Linked DNA regions of Kluyveromyces lactis. The protein of the gene in region 1 purifies or fractionates together with the protein of each later gene. This does not show direct contact. Links are inferred from orthologs where the notes say so. Each region holds a gene or a part of one and is shown on either strand. Other genes may lie near its edges.

The links. Proteins that work in one complex are often made in the same cells at the same time.
Region 2: the proteins of SPT16 (region 1) and PSH1 purify together in Saccharomyces cerevisiae (affinity purification with mass spectrometry; 8 studies listed by BioGRID, with this or other methods). This does not show direct contact. The link is inferred for Kluyveromyces lactis from reciprocal best matches to the Saccharomyces cerevisiae genes SPT16 and PSH1.
Region 3: the proteins of SPT16 (region 1) and CKA1 purify together in Saccharomyces cerevisiae (affinity purification with mass spectrometry; 9 studies listed by BioGRID). This does not show direct contact. The link is inferred for Kluyveromyces lactis from reciprocal best matches to the Saccharomyces cerevisiae genes SPT16 and CKA1.
Region 4: the proteins of SPT16 (region 1) and SAS3 purify together in Saccharomyces cerevisiae (affinity purification with western blotting; 4 studies listed by BioGRID, with this or other methods). This does not show direct contact. The link is inferred for Kluyveromyces lactis from reciprocal best matches to the Saccharomyces cerevisiae genes SPT16 and SAS3.

What each region holds. Positions count from the first base shown.
Region 1 is NC_006042.1:906,593-910,991, forward strand, and holds the start of SPT16 (chromatin-remodeling protein SPT16), read left to right. Parts: upstream 1-1,385; coding exon 1,386-4,399. Other genes in the region: KLLA0_F09867g (uncharacterized protein), read right to left, coding at 49-1,158. UniProt on the Saccharomyces cerevisiae protein: Component of the FACT complex, a general chromatin factor that acts to reorganize nucleosomes. The FACT complex is involved in multiple processes that require DNA as a template such as mRNA elongation, DNA replication and DNA repair.
Region 2 is NC_006038.1:766,323-769,691, forward strand, and holds PSH1 (ubiquitin-protein ligase PSH1), read left to right. Parts: upstream 1-1,485; coding exon 1,486-2,577; downstream 2,578-3,369. Other genes in the region: PET111 (Pet111p), read left to right, coding at 1-1,015; COX7 (cytochrome c oxidase subunit VII), read left to right, coding at 2,930-3,118.
Region 3 is NC_006041.1:381,414-384,787, forward strand, and holds CKA1 (casein kinase 2 catalytic subunit CKA1), read left to right. Parts: upstream 1-1,460; coding exon 1,461-2,582; downstream 2,583-3,374. Other genes in the region: CAP2 (F-actin-capping protein subunit beta), read left to right, coding at 202-1,041.
Region 4 is NC_006041.1:1,770,456-1,774,768, reverse strand, and holds SAS3 (histone acetyltransferase), read right to left. Parts: upstream 2,992-4,313; coding exon 793-2,991; downstream 1-792. Other genes in the region: KLLA0_E19933g (SANT/Myb-like DNA-binding domain-containing protein), read left to right, coding at 1-235; KLLA0_E19889g (NAD(P)-dependent alcohol dehydrogenase), read right to left, coding at 3,608-4,313. UniProt on the Saccharomyces cerevisiae protein: Catalytic component of the NuA3 histone acetyltransferase complex, that acetylates H3K14. The NuA3 HAT complex has 2 functionally distinct forms.

The sequences.
Region 1 (4,399 bases):
GAGATGCAATGCATATAACAAATTCCGTCGAAATTTCTTACTTCATATCTATTCTTTAGAAAGGTATTCTTTAGAAGTGTCTCGTAGTTTTGTCTTCTTGTCTTTCATGTAATTTATTACATTGTTAAATGTTATGGTCGTAATGCTTTTAATAAGTTCCTCGTATTCCTCGTTGATCTTGGTAACTGCTTCCGACTTTTCCTGCAATTCTATCTGGAATTGTTCATAAGTGAAAGGTTGCAACGATCGTTGGTATAAATTCGGATGGCGTTCACAAAGGTCGGCAAATAGATGAAGAGACTGCAAAAGAAGACTTGCTAATGTGAGGTGTAGAGAGTAATCCCCAAGACTTCTCTTATTAGATACCGACAGGTTGTACATTTCCGGATAAATAGTTATCACTTCGTTAATAATATCGATAGCATACGCTGAAAGGATATTGAGTCTTATGGCTAATCCATCCAAAGTTTCATCCCTAAGTGCTTCCTTTATCTTCTCTACTCCCTCAGTTAAATCACCTGCAAGAATTTGGTATGCAGAGAGTACAATAGGAAGTATTTGCACTTCTAACTCTTTAGCCCATCTGTTTATATTTCTTCTTGTAGCCAAAAGATCATCGGATGCCTTGGAAAACAATTCGTCATCATGCTCAAGACGTCTTCTTTCTGAGTCTATTCGCATGAAGGCGAATATAAATTCGCTGCTGATTTGCTCCGCAAAAGTAATTTCTCGCGACATAAAATGTGCAAATCCTAAATAAAACTTTCCAAGATCTATTACATCGTTCTTCCCATCATACATCACCAAAAAAGGATACTTCTTCCTCAATAATTCTGTTAGTTTCTCGCTATCCAGATGGTTAGCAGAACTTAAGTTGTTCCCACTCATTATTTTGGTACAAATAAACCAGTGAACCACCCCGATGTGATTATAGGCTTTGATGTTGATATACACCCAATAATGAAAAGTAAACGTGCACTTTCCACTGTTAACTTCTATTATAGTCATCCTCGGTTCAAAATACATTGGAAGCATCTTAGTATGGAATTGATCTCCAGTCACGTGAAGAGAATCAAATCCGTTTACAGTGATATATTCTCCCTTTAACCTGAATTTTTCAAAATTTAGTAAAAAAAAAACGCGACGCCAATAATGCATATATTATAGTTTTAAATTGAAGAGTAACATTAATAATTTTTGCAAACTATACCCATTGTTTAAGAGCTGGCAGGAAATTAAAGCAAAGGGACTCTTTGGTACTTTTATTGAAATAACCTGCAAAGCATTTCGTGGCTCGGTATTTCAAACTCATTGTTCTATTAGGCGTGGCAGTTGTCTTTTTTGGTTAGATATTGAGGACCCCATTGTGCTAATCTCAAGTAACAATGAGTGACGGAGGAATTGAAATTGATTTCCAAGCCTTTTATGATAGGTTTACAAAATTAGGGAAGGCATATTCTGGATTTGAAGGTTCTCCAAATAGTCTTCTCTTTGTACTTGGTTCGACTAATGAGGAAAACCCTTATCAAAAGACCACCATTTTGCATAATTGGTTGCTAGGGTATGAGTTTCCAGCTACATTGATTGCCTTTTTCAAGGATAAAGGTGTCATCATAACCAGCAGTGCTAAGGCGAAACATCTTTTGCCCGCTGTTACTAAGTTTGAAGGATCAGATTACAAACTTGAGATCTGGCAAAGAAATAACAAGGATGCAAATCACAATAAGAAATTGTTTGAGGACCTCATCAAGCTGTTATCAGAAAACGGTAATACTGTCGGTGTCCCAACGAAGGATTCATATCAAGGTAAGCTCATTCTTGAATGGAAACCGCTTTGGGAAGAAGCTAAAAAGACGCATTCTTTAAACGTAATCGATTGCTCTGCTGGTTTGTCTTCTACTTGGAAGGGCAAAGATGATAAGGAAAAGGCTTACCTTTCTGTATCCAGTAAGGGATCTGACAAATTCATGGATCTTATGTCAAATGAAATCGTCAATGCTGTTGACGAAGAACTAAAAATATCAAATTCTAAGTTGTCAGATAAAATTGAAAACAAGATAGATGATTCCAAGTTTTTGAAGAAACTTTCAAGTGATCTAAATCCTTTGTGTCCTACCGACGAGAAATTCGACGTTAATTTCCTTGATTGGGCCTATTCTCCAATTGTGCAATCAGGTTCTAAGTTCGACCTTAAGGTTTCTGCTCGTTCTAACAACGACTCACTTTTCGGAAAGGGTTCCATCCTAGCCTCATGCGGTATCAGATACAAGAATTACTGTTCCAATATCACCAGAACTTTTTTGATTGACCCGACAGATGAAATGACTGACAATTATGACTTTTTATTGATTTTGCAAGAGAAGATCATCGATGATTTATTAAAAGTAGAAGCTGATCCAACATCTATTTATGAAAAGACACTGGAATTCATCAAAGAAAAGAAACCGGAATTATTATCTCACTTTACTAAAAATGTTGGTTCTTTGATGGGGTTGGAATTTAGAGACTCTGCTGGTATGATCAATGCTAAACCAACCGCTCATAAAATTTCAGAGAATTGCTGTTACAATATTTCACTCGGATTTGGGAATTTAAAGGATAGTAAAACTGGTCAGGTATATGCTGTTCAATTAGCAGATACCGTTCAACTTTCTTCTGATGGAAAGCCATCCACTTTGACCAAGTACACAAAGGCTAGATCCCAAATCTCGTTTTACTTCAACAACGAAGAAGAGAACAAAGCTGCAACTGTTAAATCTGAAAAAAGCAAGCCTCCTGCTTTACCAAAACCTGATGGTACATCGAAGATTTTGAGATCTAAGCTACGTGGAGAAAGTCGTGCTGACGATGAAGAGAAAGAACAAATCCGCAAAGAGAACCAAAGAAAACTTCATGAAAGATTACAGAAGGAAGGTTTACTCAGATACAGTGATGCAGATGCAGTAGATGGCGATGAGAAGCCAAAGCATTTCTTCAAAAAGTACGAATCTTACGTTAGGGAAACTCAAATACCATCCAATGTACGTGATTTGAAGATTCATGTCGACTGGAAGAGTCAGACAATCATTCTACCAATCTATGGTAGACCTGTACCTTTTCATATCAATTCATACAAAAACGGTTCTAAAAATGAAGAAGGTGAATACACTTATCTCAGATTGAATTTCCATTCTCCTGGTGCTGGAGGTGTCGGTAAGAAAACTGAGGAGTTGCCGTATGAAGAGAACCCAGAGAATCAATTTGTTCGTTCTCTAACTTTAAGATCTAAGGATGGTGCTCGCATGAGCGATGTTTTCAAACAAATTACTGATCTTAAGAAGGAATCTACCAAACGTGAACAGGAAAGAAAAGCTTTGGCTGATGTTGTTGTCCAGGCTAAATTGGTGGAGAACAAAACTGGTAGGACTAAACGTTTGGACCAAATCTTTGTCAGGCCTAGTCCCGATACCAAGCGTGTGCCAGGTACGGTGTTCATTCATGAAAATGGTATCAGATACCAGTCTCCATTGAGGACAGATTCAAGAATTGATATCCTATTCTCAAACATCAAGAATCTATTCTTCCAATCATCAAAGGGAGAACTTATTGTGATCATTCATGTTCATCTAAAGAATCCTATTTTAATGGGTAAAAAGAAGATCCAAGATATTCAATTTTACAGAGAAGCATCTGATATGGCTGTCGATGAGACAGGAAACAGCAGACGCAACAACATGAAATTTAGAAGATATGGTGATGAAGATGAATTAGAACAAGAACAAGAAGAAAGAAGAAAACGTGCTGCCCTTGATAAAGAATTTAGATATTTTGCTGAAGCTATAGCAGAGGCATCCGATGGTCTCCTAGATGTAGATTCTCCATTTAGAGATCTTGGTTTCCAAGGTGTTCCTTCTAGATCAGCCGTGTTCTGTATGCCAACGAGAGACTGCTTAATTCAATTAGTTGAACCGCCATTTTTAGTCATAAATTTGAACGAAGTTGAGATTTGTATACTTGAAAGAGTTCAATTTGGATTGAAGAACTTTGACATGGTCTTTGTTTATAAAGATTTGACAAAGCCTGTTTCTCATATAAACACTGTACCAATTGAGCAACTTGAATTCATTAAGACATGGTTAACAGATGTTGATATTCCATATACTGTTTCTACAATTAACTTGAACTGGTCGACAATCATGAAGTCGCTACAAGATGATCCTCATCAATTCTTTTTGGATGGTGGGTGGTCGTTCTTGGCAACTGGATCCGATGATGAAAGATCTGATGAGAGCGAGGAAGAAATTTCAGAATACGAGGCATCTGATGAGGATCCATCTGATGAGGAAGTGTACTCTGAAGAAGAAGAGGATTATTCGGATGACGAAAAATTCAGTGATGAAGGGTCAGATGATTTCGCCGA
Region 2 (3,369 bases), on another chromosome or scaffold:
CCTTCGCACGGAGTTAGAACTCGAAATGAAATCATTATTTGATAACAGGTGGTATAAAAGGACGTACCCATGGTTATCTCGTTCCATGGAGCTGCAATCATATGAGAAAACTTCGGACGTCACAGGAGATGACACTTTTTCCAGAAGAAATGAACAACGGGTCGACACTAAACTTTTGAAAAGGGTAGAGAAGATCTTAGAAAACGGTCGTTACCGCCGTGCGAGAACGATAATAATGGATCAAGCCAGGTTAGGGATAAGGCCTAATTTTCAGTTCTTCTACACCTTGAAAAAGTTCTGTGTGAACAAAGGCCACTTACCGATGTGTAACATTTTGGATACGACGCTCAAGAGCTCGTATAGGACCATTCCTTTGAAGGTCAAAATTCTAAACTTACGTGCAAACTTGTACAAATTAGCATATCAACTACGGAAAGCACAACAACCTAATGAAATCATGAGATCTCAGAGTTTAAAAATGATCGAACGATTTGTGAAGGAGCATCAACGCGAATTGAATTTCCAGAACTATATCCAATTGGCCATGTTAGCGTCTCGATACAAAGGCAGATACCTATGTGACAAATTATTTGCAAAGAGCATTGTGACCAGGGACCCAACGGACAGTAGGGCTACTTATATCATATACAGGTCATTGCTTGCATTTTTCGTGAGGTTAAAGGAGCCAAAGAAATTTTTATCAACTTTAAAGAAGTTGAATAACGAATCCCATGTTATCGTCACTAAATATTTGTTGAGTACTGTGAAATACAACATCGCTTACTTTGATAAATTTAATTGTGAGGATACCAACGCAATGATAGTGGAGTATGAGAAACTACGAAAAAGATATGCCTTTACCAAGCTTGAAGGGCTAGATGCCATCAAAGAGTTAATGACGTATCTAAGAAAATGGTTAGATCATGAAGTATACAAGCATCAGACTTCAACTTATCAAAAACAGTTGGAACTGGAAAAGCAGTATAGAAAGGCACCCAAAGAGGTTGTGAAATAGGACACTGGCACAACACAAGCTCAAATAAAGAGCTGTTAAATATATTTCTCTGCGTCCTCGTCTTACCATTGTCATCTCTCCACTTGTAAATAGAATATCGGAGAGAATGAAAACTAGGCCTGACGTATATACCTTAGCATCAACATCATCAACAACAAAATTTAATTCAGCATTTCAATATATGTAAAGATATATGTATATTTATTCGAGAATAATATCCCAATTATAAGAACTCTTACTTAGCCGTACGCTATATCTTCGTCTCTTGTGCATTACATTGTTGCCATTATTTCGTTCAGTTTCTTAAAAAGAAAAGCCCTTAAGACCAAAAACAGGAAAAAACCTTTAAAAAGCTGCGATTGCGAAACAATACATCGCGAGATGATTAGGGATACATTATTCAATTGGATGGCAGGCGAACCCGCTTTATATTAAGAAACGATAACTTCGATCTTCACCTCATTATCAAGATGAACGGACATTTACATACGGTTATACCGAAAAAATCCAATGCGGATCATTTACGAATCGTGGGCAGAGTGCTTGATTCCACAGTATGCACGATATGCCACGATTATATGTTTGTACCAGTCATGACGAGCTGTGGACACAACTATTGTTACGAATGTTTGAATAACTGGTTGAACAACAATCGATCCAACGTATCAGAATTAACGTGTCCGCAATGTCGAAATGTGATTACCAATGAACCATCGTTGAACGTTGCCTTACAACAAATAGTCGATCTGATGCTAGATATAGCAGCGGAGGACCCACAGAAATCGAATTCCTCCGAAGTACGATCACTGCTCACACAAAGAGAATGCTCCGTTGCTGAATACAAGTCTGACCTGTTGGAAGAAACGCTATTCAACAGTGTGTTTAAGAATACTGCCAAAGCCATCATAGACGATGATGACGATGGGATAGCAAGGTGTAGCAATTGCCAATGGGAAGTTGAGGGTCCCGTGTGTCCTAACTGCAATGCTACGATACGGAATTATAATGCGGGTGCACAGAACTTCGACGAAGTTGATGTGGATGAGTACTCTGACGGAGAACTGGAAGAGGTTGAGAGAGATTTGGACAATTATAGAGCCGAGAGTGCACGTACTGTGCACGATTTGGAAGCCGAAGAGGGAGATGAGAGTCTCAGTTCAGAGATGGACCAGGCATGGCCCACAAGACGGCCTAGGAACTTTATGCATGGAGAAGAAGAAGAGGAGGAAGAGGAAGATAGAGGATCGATAGATTCGTTCATAGTGGATGAGGAAGAAGAAGAAGAAGAAGAGGAAGAGGAACAAGAATTGAAAGATGAACGGAAGTTCCGTAGAGCATCTGTTGCCCTCTCAGATGACGATGACAACGAATCTCGCGACAGTGATTTCTACGAACATAATGACGATGGATACGCGAGTGGTGACTCCCTTGACGAAAGTACTAGTAACGACGAACTAGAACCGCACACCATCCGTCTCACTCATAGTCAAGACAACAACAACAACAACAACAACAACTCCGCGCGTAAGAAACGTCTCATAGTCCTAGACTCTGATGAGTAACAATAACAGCGTATATACACCTTGTACAACCTTCTAACGATACTAAAAGTCACGTGTAAACCACCATCACGTGCAACAACCCCGCAGTTACCCTGAATGTCCCCGTATCTTTTCCCAGCCTATGGAGTTTTCGCTGTTTAGAGGGAAGTTGAATTTTCACACCACTCGAAAGCCAGTAGGGGAATATCAGATACTGAGATTAAAAAAAATTTTGGAAGAAATAAACTGTTATGATAGTTAGTTTACACTTGGTGAATACAGTTTTCGATTTGATTCATAGTATTTGTATATTTTGTTTGTTGTTCATCGATTGCCAATACATTTGTTTAATCATAGCCCCAAACATTGAACGATGCCTTCTCCAAGCAAAATTATTGAACTACAAAAGCTGTTCCAACACTCTTCTAAGCCATTGTGGTCTAGACATCCAAGATCGGCTTTCTACTTGTACCCATTCTGGGGTTTGTTTACTGTGGCCCTTGTTGCTCCATTGCTATACATTCCAAATGCTATCATGGGTATTAAGGCTAAGAAGAACTAAGAACTGTTACGTTGTGTATGAATGAATGAATGAAATCCCGAGAGGTTTTTTCGTTAATTATTTTATTATCAAGATACGTCCAAAAATATCCCATATTCACTTTCCCTTATGTTATTACCATGTTAAAAGAGCGAACGAATGAACGAAAATGCACAGCAACAGTATTAGGAAGATATGTTCTTTGCTTCTCTTGTTGAGAAATCTGTTTGTTTCAAATATATATATTTAATTCCAAGACCAGGTCAAGAAAT
Region 3 (3,374 bases), on another chromosome or scaffold:
TGCTTCTACTTTATTTTACTAGTGTAAGCGATACTGGCAATGTCTCTCAATAGAAAAATATCATCGATCGTATTGAAAGGAAAACTACGAAAGAAATCATTAAAGGAGTAGAAAGGGTAAATGTAAATACATCAAGCAAACTGAAGAAAACTCATTGAGCGTGGTAACTAGTTGTAAATATACTGAAGATACGGAACTAGAATGTCTGTGGACGAGAAATATGATGCTGCTTGCGAGCTTTTATACAGATTGGATCCAACAAAGGTGAAAACCCATTTACAGAACCTTATTGCGTTGGAGCCTGAAATCGCAGAAGGATTACTTTCCTCAATTGATATCCCATTGACCATTAAGAAGGATACCGATGCTAACAACAAAGAATTCTTATGTTGCGACTACAACCGTGACATCGATTCTCATAGGTCACCGTGGTCTAACCAGTACTTCCCTGAATTGAGTGCCGAAGATTTGAAAGAAAGTCCTTTTCCCAGTGAGCCATTGAGAGAACTAGAAGTTGCATGCAACAATTCTTTCGAGTTGTATAGGGACCTATACTACGAGGGTGGTTACACTTCAACGTATCTCTGGGACGTTGATGAATCAACTGATTTCGCGGGAGTCATTCTTTTCAAGAAAGCTGAATCAGATGATTCTAAATGGGACAGTATCCACGTCATATCTGCCACCCACGATGAAGAGGGTATGGAAGTCACATATAATGTCACTACAACGGTGATCTTGCACTTGGAAAACCTATCAAAAGAACAACAACTATCATTGTCCGGTAATCTAACTAGAGAAAATTCCAAGACCGTAAAATTGCAAAACGTATCTACTGTTGAACAGCTAGTACCCGCTCACTCTTCCAGCTTGGGATCTATGATTGAAGATATTGAATCTAAGCTTAGATCAATGCTCGAAATCGTGTATTTCGAAAAGACGTTGGATATTTACAACGTGTTGAGAGAACGTAACGATGATTCTACCAAATTGCAAAAGGAGCAACACTCCGAATTAATTGAAAACTTCCAGAAATTATAATCAATTGAATAAATAAAGTAAGAAATTATACACACATACACTACGTATAAATGCTAAATGAACACCATTATATTTTGCCGGTTCGTCAGTCAACACAATTATTGGCTAGAATTGTTCTATACATAAAACCGTTACCCTAACTCCTCATACTGTAGTTTCGAAATGTCAATTTTTGCAAGAGAGACATGAACTGAAAAGAAATCAGATAACCCAGAAATGAAAATTCCAGTTTGAGTATAGGCATTACAAAAGCTTCAAACGTACTGGATTATATACGGTGAGTGGTTTGGATTTCTCGGACTCATTATTACCACTGTTTATAGAAATAGAAAAGGTCAACAAAAAACTGGCTGGCAATCGTTCTCGTTGTTAATTTCGTGGTAGTTTTAGAGACTTTCCAGTACATTATTAAAAGGAAGATGAAATCGAAAGTGTGGAGTGAGGCAAGAGTCTATAGTGATGCCAACGAGATTCGTGGTCAAAGATACTGGGACTATGAAAATACATCAATAGAATGGAAGGCTAATAACTCACAGTACGAAGTTGAATGCAAAGTTGGCCGTGGTAAATATAGTGAAGTTTTCCAAGGCGTACAGTTATCCACGAGAAATAAGATTGTCATTAAGATGCTAAAACCTGTGAAGAAGAAGAAGATTAAGAGAGAAATTACCATACTTGCAAACCTCTCGAATGAGAAGAATCCGCCAACTGCGCAACCTTACGATGAGGCAAAATATTACACAAACAGAAGAGAAGAAGTACTGAAATATGCGAGAGATAAAGTATATGACTTACCTCATAACGGGCATGAGAATATTATAACATTGTTAGATGTGGTCAGAGATCCCATATCCAAGACACCTGCATTGATTTTTGAACATATCGACAATACGGAATTCCGTAGGTTGTATGCTTCATTTTCGGATCTTGATATTCGTTATTATATGTTCGAGCTTTTGAAAGCTTTGGACTACTGCCATTCGATGGGTATTATGCATAGAGACGTCAAACCACACAATGTAATGATTGACCATAAGCAACACAAATTGAGACTAATCGATTGGGGTTTGGCTGAATTTTATCATCCATCGATGGAATACAATGTCCGCGTTGCGTCAAGATTTTTCAAGGGCCCAGAACTTCTAGTTGATTATAGAATGTACGATTACTCGCTAGACTTATGGTCATTTGGAGCAATGTTAGCATCAATGGTTTTTCTGAAAGAGCCTTTCTTCTATGGGTCGAGTAATACTGACCAGCTAGTCAAGATTGTACGCGTCTTGGGTAGTGATGATTTCGAAAGATATTTACAGAAATATCAGATAACACTCCCAGATGAGTTTATTGATATGGATCAATACATCAGAAGACCATGGCAGAAATTCGTCAATGATTCCAACAAGCACCTATGTGGAAACGATGATATCATTGATTTAATCGATAATCTTCTTCGTTACGACCATCAAGAAAGATTTTCTTGTAAAGAAGCTATGGCTCATCCATGGTTTGCTCCAATTAGAAACAACGAATACACATTATAACCGTTCCATAGATCAATATTTTTATGAAGTTAATAATAATAATAATACTAATAACAACTGTGTGAGCTTTCCTATAATAAGTGTTGGAGGATATATTTTGATCGGGTGCTTCTAAATCTACGAATTTATTATTGACATTCATTGAGAAAGTTTTCAGATGTTGTGGAACTGTTTTGATCCTGAAGCTGAGCCCAGTCAAGCATTTGAAATTCTGCAATGAACGTTTTGTCTTTCAACATCAATAACTCACTCTGAACATACCTCTTGCTTTGAAGGATATTACATCCGTCACAATGAACTTCTCTGCAGTGTTCCAAAATCGATGACAAAATCTGTAGACAGAATCTGAATGCTAGTCCGAAATAGGGAACAATAGGAATTGTTAATCTTTTTCCGAACTTCATAAGATATTCCCACCTTTTCTGGAAAATAACGTGAAAGGCAGAATCCGTTCCTGCCTTTAAATCACTCCAAAATGTTTGTGAATCCAGTAATTTCTCTTTGATCAATAGTTCCATGGTGTATAGGACATGACAAGCAAACCGGATTTTTGTTACATCGTCATCGCCCAAAAGGACTAATCTAACTAGGAATTTAGAATGATACGAGCAGATATTCTGAAGGTGATATTCGGAGACGGAAATATCGAATTGCCTTTTCAAAACTTTTGTATAAAGTTCTCTGTTGTACATTTCTTTCGTGATAAATCTATCAAATAATGTCTCATGCAAGTATCGGCGAGACTTTTTATAATCACAATGAGTTGAATAGTACGACAACAAAACAATCTGG
Region 4 (4,313 bases), on another chromosome or scaffold:
CTTGAGAGACCATTCTCCAACTATTTCTGATGTGAACAACTCATCTTTTTATGGCAATAGGATGCCTGCCAGCGTACCGAAGCAAATTCTTCAAACACAGGCTAGTAATGAACAAACGCCCCAGTTCACTCCGAATTCATCGCAATCTCCTCAACCACCACAAAACCATCGACTACCGCAAGTGCCAACTCAGCCACTGCCTAGTTTGAATACGATATTCAAGCACATTGTTTGATGATAAACTGTCTGTATTAATACCATTATCAAGAACCAAAAACTTAAAAAACTACTTTACAAACCACTTTCAGACATGTATGAACATGAACCCCGAAGTGTATCGTGGCGCCAGTCGCTGCTACTTCAATCATCATTGTCGTTGATTTACTATCACATAAACGCACACACTTTCCTGATTATGACCCCATTGTACAAGTACTATAACTACAATAGAACATCAATAATACTGTTACAGTGTTATCTTTATGCCAAATCATTTGAACTGTACCATATGGTTATTTTTTGTCATAATAATGTCCCTATTCAGTTTATTATAGCAAAGGGACACGGGCTGCTCCTTTTGCATAAACACTTAAATGAAAAGTGCGTACTATTACGTTGTTTTGTTATTTACATTTTACTGCTATATCAATGATGGCATTAATTTTCGCTATTCTTACAATCATATACATATATACATGCATATATTAGATATTACACTATTATCAGTTTTCTTCTCATAAACACATGTCATGGCCACGCATTACTATGATTAGGTTATCCTTTAATTAATATTCAAACTCTATTCCGTAAGACTCTCTGTGGTCTTTGCTGAACTTCATTTTCTACGGGATTGTGCTGTCTGAGTTTTCTTAGAGATCTACTGACCCTAGGAGTCGCTATTTCCTCTGGAGGCGGTGGCACTTGATCATCATCTTCATCATCATCTGAATACTCCTCAGCTTCTGCATCATCTAGCGAGAAACCTTCATCTTCTAAACCGTCTGCCTCTTCAAACTCTTCCTCAATTTCTTGCTCATCGCCATTTATATCATCGTGCATACCTCCGCTGATCAGTGTTTTGGCATCAGAAGCATCGCCAGAAGGTGTACCTTCATTGAGAGCTGGAATAGTCCCCCCGAGCTTCGTATTGAGTTGTTTGAATTCAGGTTTTATTTTGCTTGCCTTAATGATTTTTTCCTTGATATTGCTTGGAAGTGTATATGCTCGAACTAAAGATTTATCAGACAAGGATACAGGAATAGTTTGTTGCTTAATCTTTTCCATTGCAGCTTCTTCCATCGTTCTTGGATCCGCCAAATCGTCACTCATAAAATTCGTTAGAACAGATATACTTTGTTTGAATGGATCAGCAGCTGTTGAACCAGCGGCAGACGTAATTCTTTGCTGGCTAACATTTGTTTCTACCATGGTTCCAACGGCATTGATTCCACACGAAGGACCGAAAATGACATGCTTCCAAACAAATCTGGAAGGGTCCAAAGTATATTTCATTTTCGCTCTAGACTGTTCAAATAACTGACACAAGATATCCCAATCTTCTACTTTCACTGCATATTTGCATTTACCTGAGGCTTCATCGTTGTATTTGTATAGACATCCAATCTGTTCCAGGCCGAATATCACATCCGAATGATTCATACCGGTTAGATTGGACAAGTCGTCTATGGTACAAGCGAATGAATCACCCAGTTCTTCAAATAACATATTAAGCGTTTGCACCATCTTATTTTTCCAGTATATTCGATAAGATACCAAACCAAGATCACTCAAAGGTTTCTCGGGAGTGCCTAGTTTAAATTCCCTTCTTGATAAGAGATATGAAAAGTCCATCAGTAGATGTCCGATACCGCGCCTTTGAAAATGTGGTAAAGTAAGAATACAACTTAGGTTATAACCAGTTGAGTTTAGCTTTTCCTTAGAAAAATATCCAACAAATTTCCATTCTTCGTCCTCCCATACTGTTATGGTGTAAAACATAAAGGGTTCCACGTCATAATACAAAGTTTTCGAATTTAAAAAAAGTTTCGCTAGTAAACATAAATTCTGACAATAAATAACGTTCTCTCTTCCGTCTACTTCCCAAATGGCGAACCCTTGGTCCATATCTCTATAAATTTGGTTTCCTGGCGGGTGGATATAATCACATTTCAACTGATGCCTATAATAGACATACTTTGAACTCATATATTTCAAACACTTGTCGCAAATATAGATAATTTCGTTCTTGTTATACTCTTCAGGGTAGGGAGCCTTATACCAAGTTTTGATCTCATAATTTTGGAAATAAACATATTCCACGTTGGTTGTCTTCGCAGAATGCATCAAAGCTGTTGGCTTTAACCGTTTCTTATCTTGATTATGAGCTTCATCATTTGGAAATGCCAGGAGTGTGTTACCATTGAAACGAGCTGCTGTTTGGGACTTACGCAGCAAAGTTAGAAAAAACTCTCTATCTTTGACACGAGGAATGGTCCTATGAGTTGTATAATCCTGCTTATTTTCAATTGCGCCACGATAAGGGAACTGAGCATCGTTATCAAGAGATGTTAACAAATTTTCAGTTTCATATATCTCAAAGTCAATGCCATTTAGCGGAATTGACGGTACTTTTACGTCGAGATCGCTGCCTCTGTTCAACACTTGATTGAAATCAAGCAACTTCAACGGATTATACCTGATAGTAATAATTCTACGATCGTCTGAAAATTGCACATGGCTGTTCATCTCATTCCAATCAGATGGTATAACAATCGTTTTAAGTTTCTTGTCCTTATTCTTCTCCGGTTGCACCCCAGAATCATCAGCACCGTTATAGCCTATATGATCCGACGACTTGTCATGTCTATCTCTGGTGCGTTTCCGTCGTACTCCACCATCTCCAGCGTCCCATAAATCAGCCTGTACTTTGGAATGTATATTATCATCAATCAGAAGTTCCTTCAGCAGTCTATTTCGCTTAGAAGTCGTCATTCTTAAATATGCGATGACTGCCACTTGATGAATTATTATTTCTTCTTTCAATATAAGGTAAACAAATAGAGAGGATAGTACCTTTACTAGTTTTAGAAGAGAAGAATGTCTATTCTAAAAACACATTCTCACAAGAACTCACAAAGTCCGAGTTATAGTAAACGAAACTAACAGCAAGCAATCTAGGTCTTACATTTACAAAAACCGGTTGCCTATATCATTCTTTCTCCTATGAAATGAAGCAAAACAATACAGATCCATGTTACTGCTGCATCAAAAATTTCGGTTTCTTGATGGTCACGTGATATCTGTATTTTTTTGTATCTTTCATACCAGCTCAGTTAGCAAATATTTCCCATGATCTTGTTGCTCTTCTTCGAGAAATTTTCGGTTACTGGAAAGGTAACCTTGGCTACAGTGACTGCATTTCATGCACTTTACTGTACCCTTACCGTCCTCTGGTGTTTATGAAAGCCGTTCCTTGCAATGTGTATAAATTGTAGGTTGTATTTTATGTGTGTTTCCATTTTGACGTTTATGTCATAGTATGTATATATAAGTGACTTAAGCTATGAACAACGTGTCAACCATCTATATAATTTATACAGTTCAACGCCTATTTCTTGGCTTTGAATTGGTCAAACTGTTTATCAAAGTCAGTTAGTGTGAATCTGAAACGAACATCACCGCTTTCCATTCTTTTGAACACTGTGGAGATATTTTCCTCACTGATTGGAACCGTTTCAACCCATAGTTTGATCTTCTTTTCAGCCACCAAGTTCAACATTTCAATGATTTCTGCACGAGATGCTAGACAAGATTGAGTAATCTGGAATCCTAGAAGTTGCGCTGGATGTAAATGTATGGCTTCATGCTGATCAGGGACAGAAATGGATGCAATAACACCTTGAGCTTTCAAAATCTTTGGTAGCTTGCCGAAATCAACGGCCGACAATGAGTTACCACATAGAACCATGAAATCCAATGTATCGAAATACTTGGTTTCCCAACCTTCATCTTCAGTGGCAATGTAATGGTCTGCACCCAATTGCTTGGATGTTTCCTCCTTGGCATGGGATCTAGAGATGGCGTACACTTCGGCACCCATGGCTTTGGCTAATAGAATACCCATGTGACCAATACCTCCGATACCAACGATACCGACTTTCTTACCTGGGCCACATCCATTTCTCTTCAATGGAGAATACACAGTGGCACCACCACATAGCAATGGTGCAACATTGTTGGTTTCTAAAGATTCTGGGATTGGAATCACGAAATGTTCGTGGACTCTGATGTGAGATGCGTAACCACCTTGACCA